Drosophila melanogaster: one gene and its partner. The protein of the gene in region 1 interacts with the protein of each later gene in a pairwise test. Each region holds a gene or a part of one and is shown on either strand. Other genes may lie near its edges. The genes, in order: Tao and gw.

Region 1 (5,210 bases):
ACCAAGAAATTAAAACTTCGATTGCTACTCACCGGAAGAGTCGGCGACTCATTCTGCGCAATGTGGTAGAGCGCCGACATGGCGTTCATGTTAAAGTAGGGAGGCTTGCGCTCTGCCAGTTCGATGCAGGTGATGCCCAGCGACCACACGTCCACCTTGCCGTCGTATTGGCCCTCGTCCATGGCCAGGATCACCTCGGGCGCCATCCAATAGGGCGTGCCGACAAAACTGTTGGCCGGACACTTGATGGCAGCGCTACCGAAATCGGCCAGCTTGACGACGCCGTTGTCCGTGAGCAGGATGTTGCCCGCCTTGATGTCACGGTGGATGCGGCCCAGCGAGTGCAGATAGCTCAACCCACTGAGCACGCCCAGACAGATGGCGGCGATCTCGTCCTCGTGCAGCGGCTTCTTGTGCACCTCGATGATGTCCGAGGCGGAGCCCACGCAGTACTCCATCACCAGCCAGGCGGTTGATTCGCGCAAATAGCATCCCTTGTATTCTATGGTGTTCGGGTGGTTCAATTGGCGAAGGAAGCTGTTGTGTACACATAAATTGATTAGAAGTCACTCGGGCGAACGCAAGTGTCAGCCAGTGCTCACCGTATCTCTTTGAGAATATCCTGCCACTTCTCCTGGCTCTGCTTGCCGGTGTACGACATCTTTTTGATGGCCACGATCTCCCTGGTGAGGTTGCATCGCGCATAATAGACCGCGCCGAAAGACCCATGGCCGATTTCGCGCAGGTCCTCGAAGATTTTCTCCGGGTCATGCTTGTTGAATAGGTCGGCTATTTCCGGATCCTTGAGACTACCAGGTCGTGCCGAAGGCATGGCTGTCTTTCATGCTCTAGCCCAGCTCTCTCAGTGGTCGACCTGCGTGCTTCTCCTCGCAGCTTGCAGCTCCAGCTGGCTACTCTGCTGTCTTGAAGTTCTGTGCGGATCGGGTGGGGCGAAAAAAAGGCGATTCCGGTTAGTCAGTCACATTCACAGCCTGCGCCAGTCACTTAGTCATGTTCAAAGGGTCGACATTTTTGGGGGATTTCAGGCTGAAACGCTGAGACTGCGGACCAATTGAATTGGGCGGCACGGGGCGTAGCGGGAATGGCTGGGCCAGTGGACAGTGGGCACTGTGCTTTGGTCAGCATTTGCATGGGGAGACGGTCAAACGGACGGACGGATGGGAACAGCTAAAAGCCGACTATCATCAAATCGATCAAGTGATTCATGCTCGCACATACTGTACGAATCATTCAAAACTCCGAATTCCGCACGCAGCACGGCCTTATCGCAAATATATTCACTGTTGGCACCGTCTTTTATGGCCAGGCTATTTTCCTCAGCTTGTTACCAACTTGTCAGCTGCTTTTTGGCCAGATTACGACAGCTGGGGTGTAAGTGGTCTAGGGCATTTGGCAGTCGGTATGACTAACGCCGTTAAGTTCATTTGCTTGGATTTCGAACAAGTAATGAGTGGAGTGGATGCGCACGTGCAGTAGGGCGGTATTTGTGGTCAAGCTGGACTAACTAGCTAGGTGTAGGGTATGCACACGTGCTGCAGGGTAATCAAAGGTCGTTACGACTGACACACAAACACACGCGAGCTGCCAAGGAGTAACGGCACCAAAGGGGTGCATTTATCGCCGTTGCGAATCCAAATACACACACACACATGCATACATTGGAGTATGCATGTCTGTGCATGCGGAGGCGTTTTGCGGGCGTCTGCGGATATCCGCCGGCTAAAGACGCGGATTTTGGCCCCCGTCGGAGCTCCGGCTTTCGCCTATCGCCGCCTGGCAAAAATTCTCAATACAATTAGTCCGCTGTGGTGCGGCGACTGCAATTCTTTGCCTGCGACGCGAAACAGAAACACGCCTATTTTTCATAGCCACCACACTATTGCACAAAGAGCAGCCATGTCGCTCACACACACTCACGCGCGCGCTCTATATGTATATGTGCGGTGGGATTGCTTGTTGTTTTGCATTTCGGGCGACACAAATTCAATTCAATTCGTGCCTTTTCCGTGGCTTGCACTGTGCTGTGGCGCTCCGTCACAGGGAATTGTAGTAGAATACCAAAGAGTTCTGCGATTCGAATTGATTTTCAGTTGGGTTGGCTTTTCCTTGGGTGCGGACTAGGCACACACCGAAGGAGCCGAAAAAGAACGCACGAAGGCGGTGATGCTGCGCCAGTTGTTGGTTTTCTTCGTTGACTGACCACTTATTGACTGATTACCATGGTTGATCTATGTGTTGCGATTAAAATTGGCTTATTTCGCTGCATTTTGCAACTGTTTTGAATCGCCTAATTTTGTTTTGCTTGCACACACACACACTCACGCTCGTCGGGGGAGCAGACAAATACACACACATTCGTATGGTTCGACTGGTGCTATCCCGTTCTCGCGCGTTGAGGGAGTCGTCGCACCGAAATCAGATGTAGCACTCAGAACCCGCAAATGCGCTGTATTTGATTGAAATTTGTGGGATCAATGATAATACCACATTGTTAATTCAATGGGCAGATGGCACACAAGAAATTCGCATTTATTGGCCAAAACGCAAACGCGAAAAAGAACAGTATGCACATACACACACGTACACGAGCATACGCATTCACACACACAGGCACACACGCACACAGGGATGGAGAGACAGTGGAAAATGCATAAATCTGGCGAGGCGAAAAAGAAAAAACGTTTGAACTTTTTCCACTGCGTTCGAGGGCTTACATTTGGCAATCAATTAGTGCTTGCTTGTTTATCGGCGCAACTGGGTCTCGCTTTTCGCATCTGTATGCATTTTTCCCTTTCATACGTCGCTTTCCCTACGACCGCTGCTGCTGTTATTGGCCCTGCTGCGACTGGGAACGGGAATCGGAATGGGACTGGTAGTGGTAGTGATACTGCTACTGGGAATGGCAACTATTGCCCTGCACTGCACACGCGTTGCGTTCACGAATCCGCACTGGCTACACATCTCGAGTGCCAAGCACCGAATTCGGGGGATCGTTACGTCGCAGATGCACCCATCTACGGCATGGAAAATTGGCAGCGATTGTCTATTTGCAACTTTTCTTCACCCGTTTCTCTAATTAAATTCCGTAAAGTTCACGTTCACACAGCACACAGTGTTACCAGATCAGCCGAGCGGCTTGAAACCAAAAACTACCACTGACCGCTTTTTACTAAAAAATCCCGATTTTAGGCGATATATTTAAAATTAACTTATTTTTTTCAATATGTTTGCGAAGTTAACTCTTGCAGAGGCGTTTTTATAGTTGAATTCGCTCAATTCAATTAGTTTTAAGAGAAAAGGTTCGTTTTTTGGTCTCTATCGATAGTCTATCGAACGTGCACCGGGTGGTGATGTCCGTGGTTACGCTATCGTTTTGGAATTATTAGTTTTTTTTTTTAATGTTTGAAAATCAATAATTTAACTTATACAGAATTCTGCAGAATTACAGCTCACGAAATCGCAGTTGGGTATCTATGTTAGAAGAACACATATATGTATCAAATTTTTAATAACTTTTTAATAGCTCAGTTCGCTAAGTCAAATACCGATACTCATCGCAACAAGTTTGGCGCACTTTTTGAAAACATACTGATAATTTCATGATACGGTATTTACTTAGCTATTTAACGCCCTCCTAGTTAATATAAATTACGGGGAACTTACATTATTACTTTATTTGATATGTTATTTACAACTATGCAAACTGGGAATACAAAAAAATGGATGCTTATATTTAAAATAGTTTATGTTCAATTTTAAGCACACTGCAACACATAAGCTATACATATGTACATACACATAATATATCAAGCTGCGAAGTTAATTTTATTGCCCACGTTGGAAAAATGAGAAACTCTACCGCTTAATTATAGAAGTACTGCTGCTGATTGAAAGTTGGGAAGCGATTCGTGTTGCCAAGCTCGAGGGGCGGGAAGTAGCCTTGGGATGATGCGGGAATACCAGAAGCACCCGCTGAACCCTGATCCTGACCCCCATCCTGACCCGCATCCTGAGCCCGCTGTCCAGCAAACGGCTGCCCAAAGTCGTCATCGCTCTCGTAGTTGACCAAAAATCGCGAAGCACTTGGTGGGGGAGAAGCAGGTTGGGAGTCAGGCCCATCTGCAGTGACAGGAAATGCAGCCGCATCCGGATCGGCAACTGAGTCCGGGTCCTGGGAGTCAACTAAGTCTCCGCTGTCTGGGTCAGCCGCCGCCGTCGCCTCCGCCACGGCTCGCGACCTAAAGAAGGTATCTGCAAAGTGTCGGAGAGAACCCAATTGTACGGCAGTTAGTTAAGAGGTTTCGTATTTTACCAGTAGGTTGTGCGTACTGATAGATAAGGCGGTCGCCCAGCTGGGCGGGACGCCGCTGTTGAGGATCGGGCTGCTGGGGTCGTGGGCGCGGCCGTGGCCTTGGGCGTGGCGGAGCTGTGGGCGGCGGCGGAGGAGGTGGAGGCGGTGGAGGTTCAGCTGGCGCCGCTGGCTGCGCATCATAGTCATAGTCGTAGTCATAGTTCGGCGGAGGAGGCGGTGCCAGTGTCGTTGGGCGTGGACGTGGTCGCACCTGCGGTCGGACGCGTCTAGGTGGCTGTGTAGTGGGCGGCGCAGGCGCTGGAGGTCGTGGTGCCGGAGGATCAGCGTAGTCCACATCGAAGGCCCCGGGCAGGAAACCGGAACTGAAGAACGGATGCCAGATGGGCTTACGAATGCGTATCGGAGCAGGTGGTGGTGGCGGAGGCGGCGTCGTCGTGGTGGTCGTCGGTGGACGACGTGTGGTCCGCGCCAGATTGGCCTTAGCCGAGGACAGCTGGGCGCTCTTGAGCAGCAGGTTACGCAGGAGCAGGCCAAAGTCCAGGGTGATGGTGCCTCGCTTTTCTCGCGCCACCTCCGTGTCCTGCGGCCCAGGATCGGCTGAGATCAGCGCCAGGAGCAGGCCCACCAACAGCAGGGCCATCAACTGCAGACGTAACATCCTCATCCTGACGGATCAAAGAGTATGTGTGTACCGCTCGAAAGGCCGTTCCAATCAGAACTGGCGCTGGTCAGCGCTGGAGTCGCCTGCCTGTACTCCAACGGAGTGGTGCCACGCGGGCCTGGGCGTCGCGGATTAAGTGCCCCCCCAAAGTCAACTAGTTAGACGGGTTAGCTGCGACCGTCCGCCTGGATCTCGTAATCGCAGACCCCGCCGACT
Region 2 (5,281 bases), on another chromosome or scaffold:
AGTTGCTCCAGAACCGTTACCGCCGCGATGTTCAACATTTCGAATATCCATGGAGCCACCAACTCCCAAAGGGCGTATTTCACGAGGGTCTCCCCAACCGTTACCAGCGTTGCTGGAGTTTCCGCTACTACCTGTTGCGACTCCAGACGATCCAGTTATATTGCTTGACCCGTTACCTCCTTAAATAACAGCAGAAATATAAAAGTATTTCGGGTTAATGAAATAAAAGTTTCTGTAGAACTTAGAATAGGTAATTCCCCAGATAAGGCTCCAACTTCAATTACTACACTTTATGTTTTTATCATGTATTGTTAGTCACATTTTGAGGGAAAAGCTAGAGCCTTTATCTGATCGTTTGCGCTTAACTTCATTAATTCTAATAGATATTAGGCCTACCAGTTGATCCAAGTCCGACGCCAACGACACCTTGTCCCCACTGAGGTCCGCCAGACGAAACAACACCGCCTGGACCGACATTAACTCCGGCTTGGTTTACTCCCACTGCAGCTCCGGATCCCGCGTTGCTAACAGCTCCTCCAGTCCACACACTACTACTATCGGCGCCATCGTCGTCCTCACCCCATGTTCCACCTAAGTTAGAGGATGGTGTATGACCCCACGACGGCTTTGGAACTTGCTGTGCGGCCGGCTGACCTCCGTTTCTCAAATTGGACTCCCAAAGATCAGTACCATTGTTAATGCTTGGCTTCCACATTGGTGGACCGGGTGCATCCTTATTGGCTGGTTCTGGCGAACTGGGAACTTCCCAATTAGTATCCTGGTTAACATGCTGACAGCCCCAGCCATCTTGGGAAAAAAGGGCTTCACGCATAGTGCTCAAGTGTTCTAACTGATTGTCAGCTTCAAAAGTAGCATTCCTTACTATTCCAACATCCACTTGATCTTTAACTTCATTATCATAAGCATTTATGGCAATTTTTAAAAGTTATTTAATTTAATCGAAAAGGAATGACTTAATCTGAATCCTTGTTCTTTCCGTGTTCTGTAGAAATATAGAAAACATTTATTATTTTTATTACAAAATATTCATTCTAAATCAAATTGCTAAGTTCTTTTTTTATTTTCTTGTATATACACAGGATAAATAAACTTAATCACCGTGATACGTTTATGCTTTATACACATTATTAATAGAGTAAAATGGTATATGGTATACCAGATTTGTTCTAAAGTATGTTACATAGCGGAAGCGTTTTCGACATAAAAGCTAGACAGTTGAGAATAAGCATGCAGATTCTAGTGACCCCTACGTTGTGCACGTTTGTTTTTAGTTTTTCTATTGTTCGTTGTTCTTAAAAAATTTTTTAATTCTGATCAGCTTTTCGTAGGCTTAATCAATATCTTCTTTACAGATTTTTAACTGCATAACATCAGTTAAAATTCTGAAGGAGAAATCATAAAAATTTAAGCTTTATAATCGATTCAAAAAGTCTGAGGACATACATATGGGTATATAAGAGTGGGAGTCATTTGACAGGAGTTAAACATGTATACTTAGTATGTACATAAAGAATTTTAAAAATGAAATATGCATCGCGATCGCTGACCTACCAGGTCTGCTGCCCAACCGGCAGAATCCCCACCCACATTAACGACAAATTCCTGTGTGAAAAACGAATGCATGTCAAAAAATAAAACAATTAAATTCACAACTCTGTAATGGTATATAAATATACATATGCATATGTACACAAGTAAAATGAATTTGTCAACTCTGGGCAGGCAGACATTGACGGAAGCACCCTATTTTATGTCTCCCTTTCCTAATTTCGCACTTGCAATTATGCTCAAATAAACTTAGAATTTAAAATGTATTTACACAACCTGTATATATGCAAGTATTGGCAAAAAGACTAATGCGATAGATATATACATGTATATACATTTGTATGAATACATTTTCAGTACTCTAGTGCATATGTAGAGAAGTCATTGTACAATACTTAGTATATTCGCGTGTCTTGTACCCTATGTGTAGAAATACAAGCGAAAAGCTGAGAACGTCACAAAATGGAGATCTAACTAAAACCTACCAAACAGAAATTAGAAATTAATATCTATTGCCAGAATATGCGTTTATAGTAAAATTGAACACTTGTGTATACGCTAATAGTTCACCGAATATTTGCAACAATTTTTGCCTTTACTGAACGAGAAGTTGATTTTCTCTATATATGTAAATATATGTGCATTTTTGTGTGTATGCATGTCAAGCCACTTTGACGAGTTCACAAAGTGTGTATGTGTTGTAAAACATACACACATTCGACAATCAATTATAGTTTTTCATATTTCACAAAATAAACTGGGATTAATAACAATCTTGAATGCGAAAACTGATTAGACTCAACAATAATTATAATTCGATGTAATTGAATATAAATTTCTGCGCACGTTCGACGATGGGGACGGCAGTTACTAGTGTATTAAATAAACCCATACAGATATTCCTGCTTGCAATATTGCCACCTAGTCAAAATTTAAAGACGGAATGGAAAGGTATGTGGAGTATAGACTAATGCAAATATGCAAAATGCTTACTTTATTTTTAATTACACTATTACTAAATTTTAACTGTTGGTGTGGAAAACCTCAAAGCAAATGCGACACATTTAAATTCCCTATTGCTTTGTCATTATGTAAAAGATTTAAAGCGTGGCAACTCTTGACTGGAACATATGTACATATAGACTTTTCCAATGCACGATACACAAGCGAACAGAATTTATTCTGCACTGATACACACATGCGTATGTCCGAAACTAAACGCTTGGGTTTTTGCGACCATTTAGGTTATGCACACTTAGGTTATGTCAGAAAGTTTCGCTTTTAATCGTACTGAGTACGTCTTCAACCATACATTAAAATTATTCTACTTCAATTTAGCTGCATTACTCCGTACATTCTATCCGTGGTGGGCTGTTGGCAATCTTTTCGTTTTAATGACAAAGCGCTTGTTTTCGAAAGATTACGCACACAAAAACATTCACTACTCGTGCTAATTCATTTTAACACACGCAATTTAAATAAAAAGTAACTATACGATGCTCTCACTCGCACTTCGCCTGGATCACGACAGACTCTTCTAGGTAGATGTCCGATATTTTCTTAAACTAATCGATATTAATCAATCTTAGGTAATACCCAGTTTACACAACTGCCTAAAATAAGTGCTGTGACCCGTTCACATCGAAGAGGTCAGATAGAGGGTACACAACAGAAGGATTAATTGATTAAAATAAATTAGCTGATATAATTTAAATTAATTCAAAACAGAGCTGTTTCAAACAAGTTCCAACTCATATAACTCTCGACCATTTCTAACAATTCAAATGAAATTTAAGGGATTAAAACAATACAGTGAGATAACATATGCATTAATAAATTTTAAAGCTTGAATGCCTTATTGAAGTGAGAATTGAAACAGGTTTGGGCAATCCATTAAATTCATAACTTATTTTATTAAGTCTATGTTAAAAAAGAATCCTTAATAATGTAATGTATAAAGTTTGGACTTACGACCGATTAATATTAATGTGTATGTTTTGGTGTTTTGCCTTGAAATCAAATGAAATTATGTTCTAAAATATCGGCTCTCCTTCGACTATCTATGAGATTTAAATAGGTTTTACCAATTGCTAAGAAAATCGAAACCCTTAGGCATTTTTAGTTCAGGGGATAACAGTTTTGTATTTTCGTCTTGACGTGCATCTTTAAATTCGTTTTCATAATCAGACAAGTCGTTTAACACACTGTTTTTCGATCCACATTTAACGAGCAGTTGCATTTTCTCATTAGATTCAATACATTCATCAATATAAACAGTTTGGGTTTTTGAGAAGTTTTCATGAATGGAAATCTTTCTTTCCGTTGTGTTAACGCCGGTTTTATCATTAGAATTAAGGTGGAGAATTGGTATTTTTTTATTGGTTGAATCTTTTGTCTTCAATTTTAAATGAATGGCCTTTTTTACGCCTAATGGAGTTTCAACAAGACAGATATCATCAAATTCTTTTAATACTATGTTAATTTGTGATTTGGTTCGATAAGAAAATGGAAACGAATGTTCATCTTGAAAATCTCCGGTGTTTTCATCGCGTAATATTTTTAAACCAACGTTTTGATAATTATATGTGTGTAAATCTTGGCCGTTATATAAATATACAATGTCTCTGAAACAAAATTTACGGTAATCATTTTTACTAACTTCAGTATTTTCGTACGGATCCTGTGCCGCATAGTTTTCTTTAGTCTTATGACAGTACTTAGAAAATATAACAGGATCTATTAATTGGTTATTCAATATTTTTTCCTGTTCGTTTAAAGTCAATTTAAGCCAAGCGTCTTGGTTGTATGTAGATTTAACTTTATTGAGATCGCAGGTAATTTTTTCGGAAATTGAATTAAGACGTGAGAAGTATGACTGAGCCTCATCGTGTGTTGTCATTTTTGATCTGAAAATAAATATGGTTTGCTGTATTAAATGGTTAGCGGAACGTTAGATTCTATCATAAAATCGAATAATTATATTAACCTGAATTCTTGAAAAAGTATTTATAATTCTTTTATACTCTTCACTCGTAAAGTAAGGGGGTTATTAAAAATTAAAAAAGAACATAACAGGTGAACAAAAAGGTTTCCGAGACTAGTTAATGAACTTCGGGATTTGGACACTATATGATGTCCAAACCGAAAACAAATGCAATAAAAAAGAAATATATAACCTTAGAATCAAATTAGCCCACCTCTCCTTTATTTACATTACTAATTTTTGGTAGCCAGAGGAGTGCTTCCCGACATTACAACATTCATAGGGGCAGACGGAAGTATCAACTCGGATGGGTGTTTCTTTCTAATCTAGACACATACATATGTATGTATATACTACATAGGGTTTATGTGTGTTTAAATTGATATGGGCGTTACAGTTTTGAACGATTTGTAGGTATTTGGTTAAAATTGTTTTTGGCAGTTTTTGGGCGGTTCGTGGTCGTTAGAACAAGCGTGTAAACATTTGGAAACATGTGAGTATAAAATGGGATCGATGCGTTCCTATTACATACATATACTTTCTATGATCGGAGACGGTTTCTTCTACCAATTACATACATTGCAGCGAATCTAATACATATACGATTTTACTTTACAAGTAATGGGTATAATATAGGAAATAAACAAAAATCGGCAAGCCGATTTTTATATGCTTATACTGAATAATATCTATTTATGATCACGAACAGAAAAAATTTGACTTTTCCAA

The links.
Region 2: the proteins of Tao (region 1) and gw interact in a two-hybrid assay, tested with the Drosophila melanogaster proteins (one large-scale study listed by BioGRID).

The regions. Positions count from the first base shown.
Region 1 is NC_004354.4:19,576,663-19,581,872, forward strand, and holds the start of Tao (Tao), read right to left. Parts: upstream 3,139-5,210; 5' UTR 2,736-3,138; intron 1,841-2,735; exon of another isoform or gene 1,240-1,840; intron 933-1,239; 5' UTR 833-932; coding exon 603-832; intron 538-602; coding exon 33-537; intron 1-32. Other genes in the region: CG14218 (uncharacterized protein), read right to left, coding at 3,884-4,272, 4,334-4,997. UniProt on the Drosophila melanogaster protein: Serine/threonine-protein kinase which regulates the Hippo/SWH (Sav/Wts/Hpo) signaling pathway, a signaling pathway that plays a pivotal role in organ size control and tumor suppression by restricting proliferation and promoting apoptosis.
Region 2 is NC_004353.4:657,506-662,786, forward strand, and holds the start of gw (gawky), read right to left. Parts: upstream 3,104-5,281; 5' UTR 2,924-3,103; intron 2,479-2,923; exon of another isoform or gene 2,055-2,478; intron 1,004-2,054; 5' UTR 833-1,003; coding exon 397-832; intron 180-396; coding exon 1-179. Other genes in the region: CG46466 (uncharacterized protein), read right to left, coding at 3,650-4,468. UniProt on the Drosophila melanogaster protein: Required for gene silencing mediated by micro-RNAs (miRNAs). Silences both polyadenylated and deadenylated mRNAs. Required for miRNA-mediated translational repression and mRNA decay. Not required for miRNA target recognition.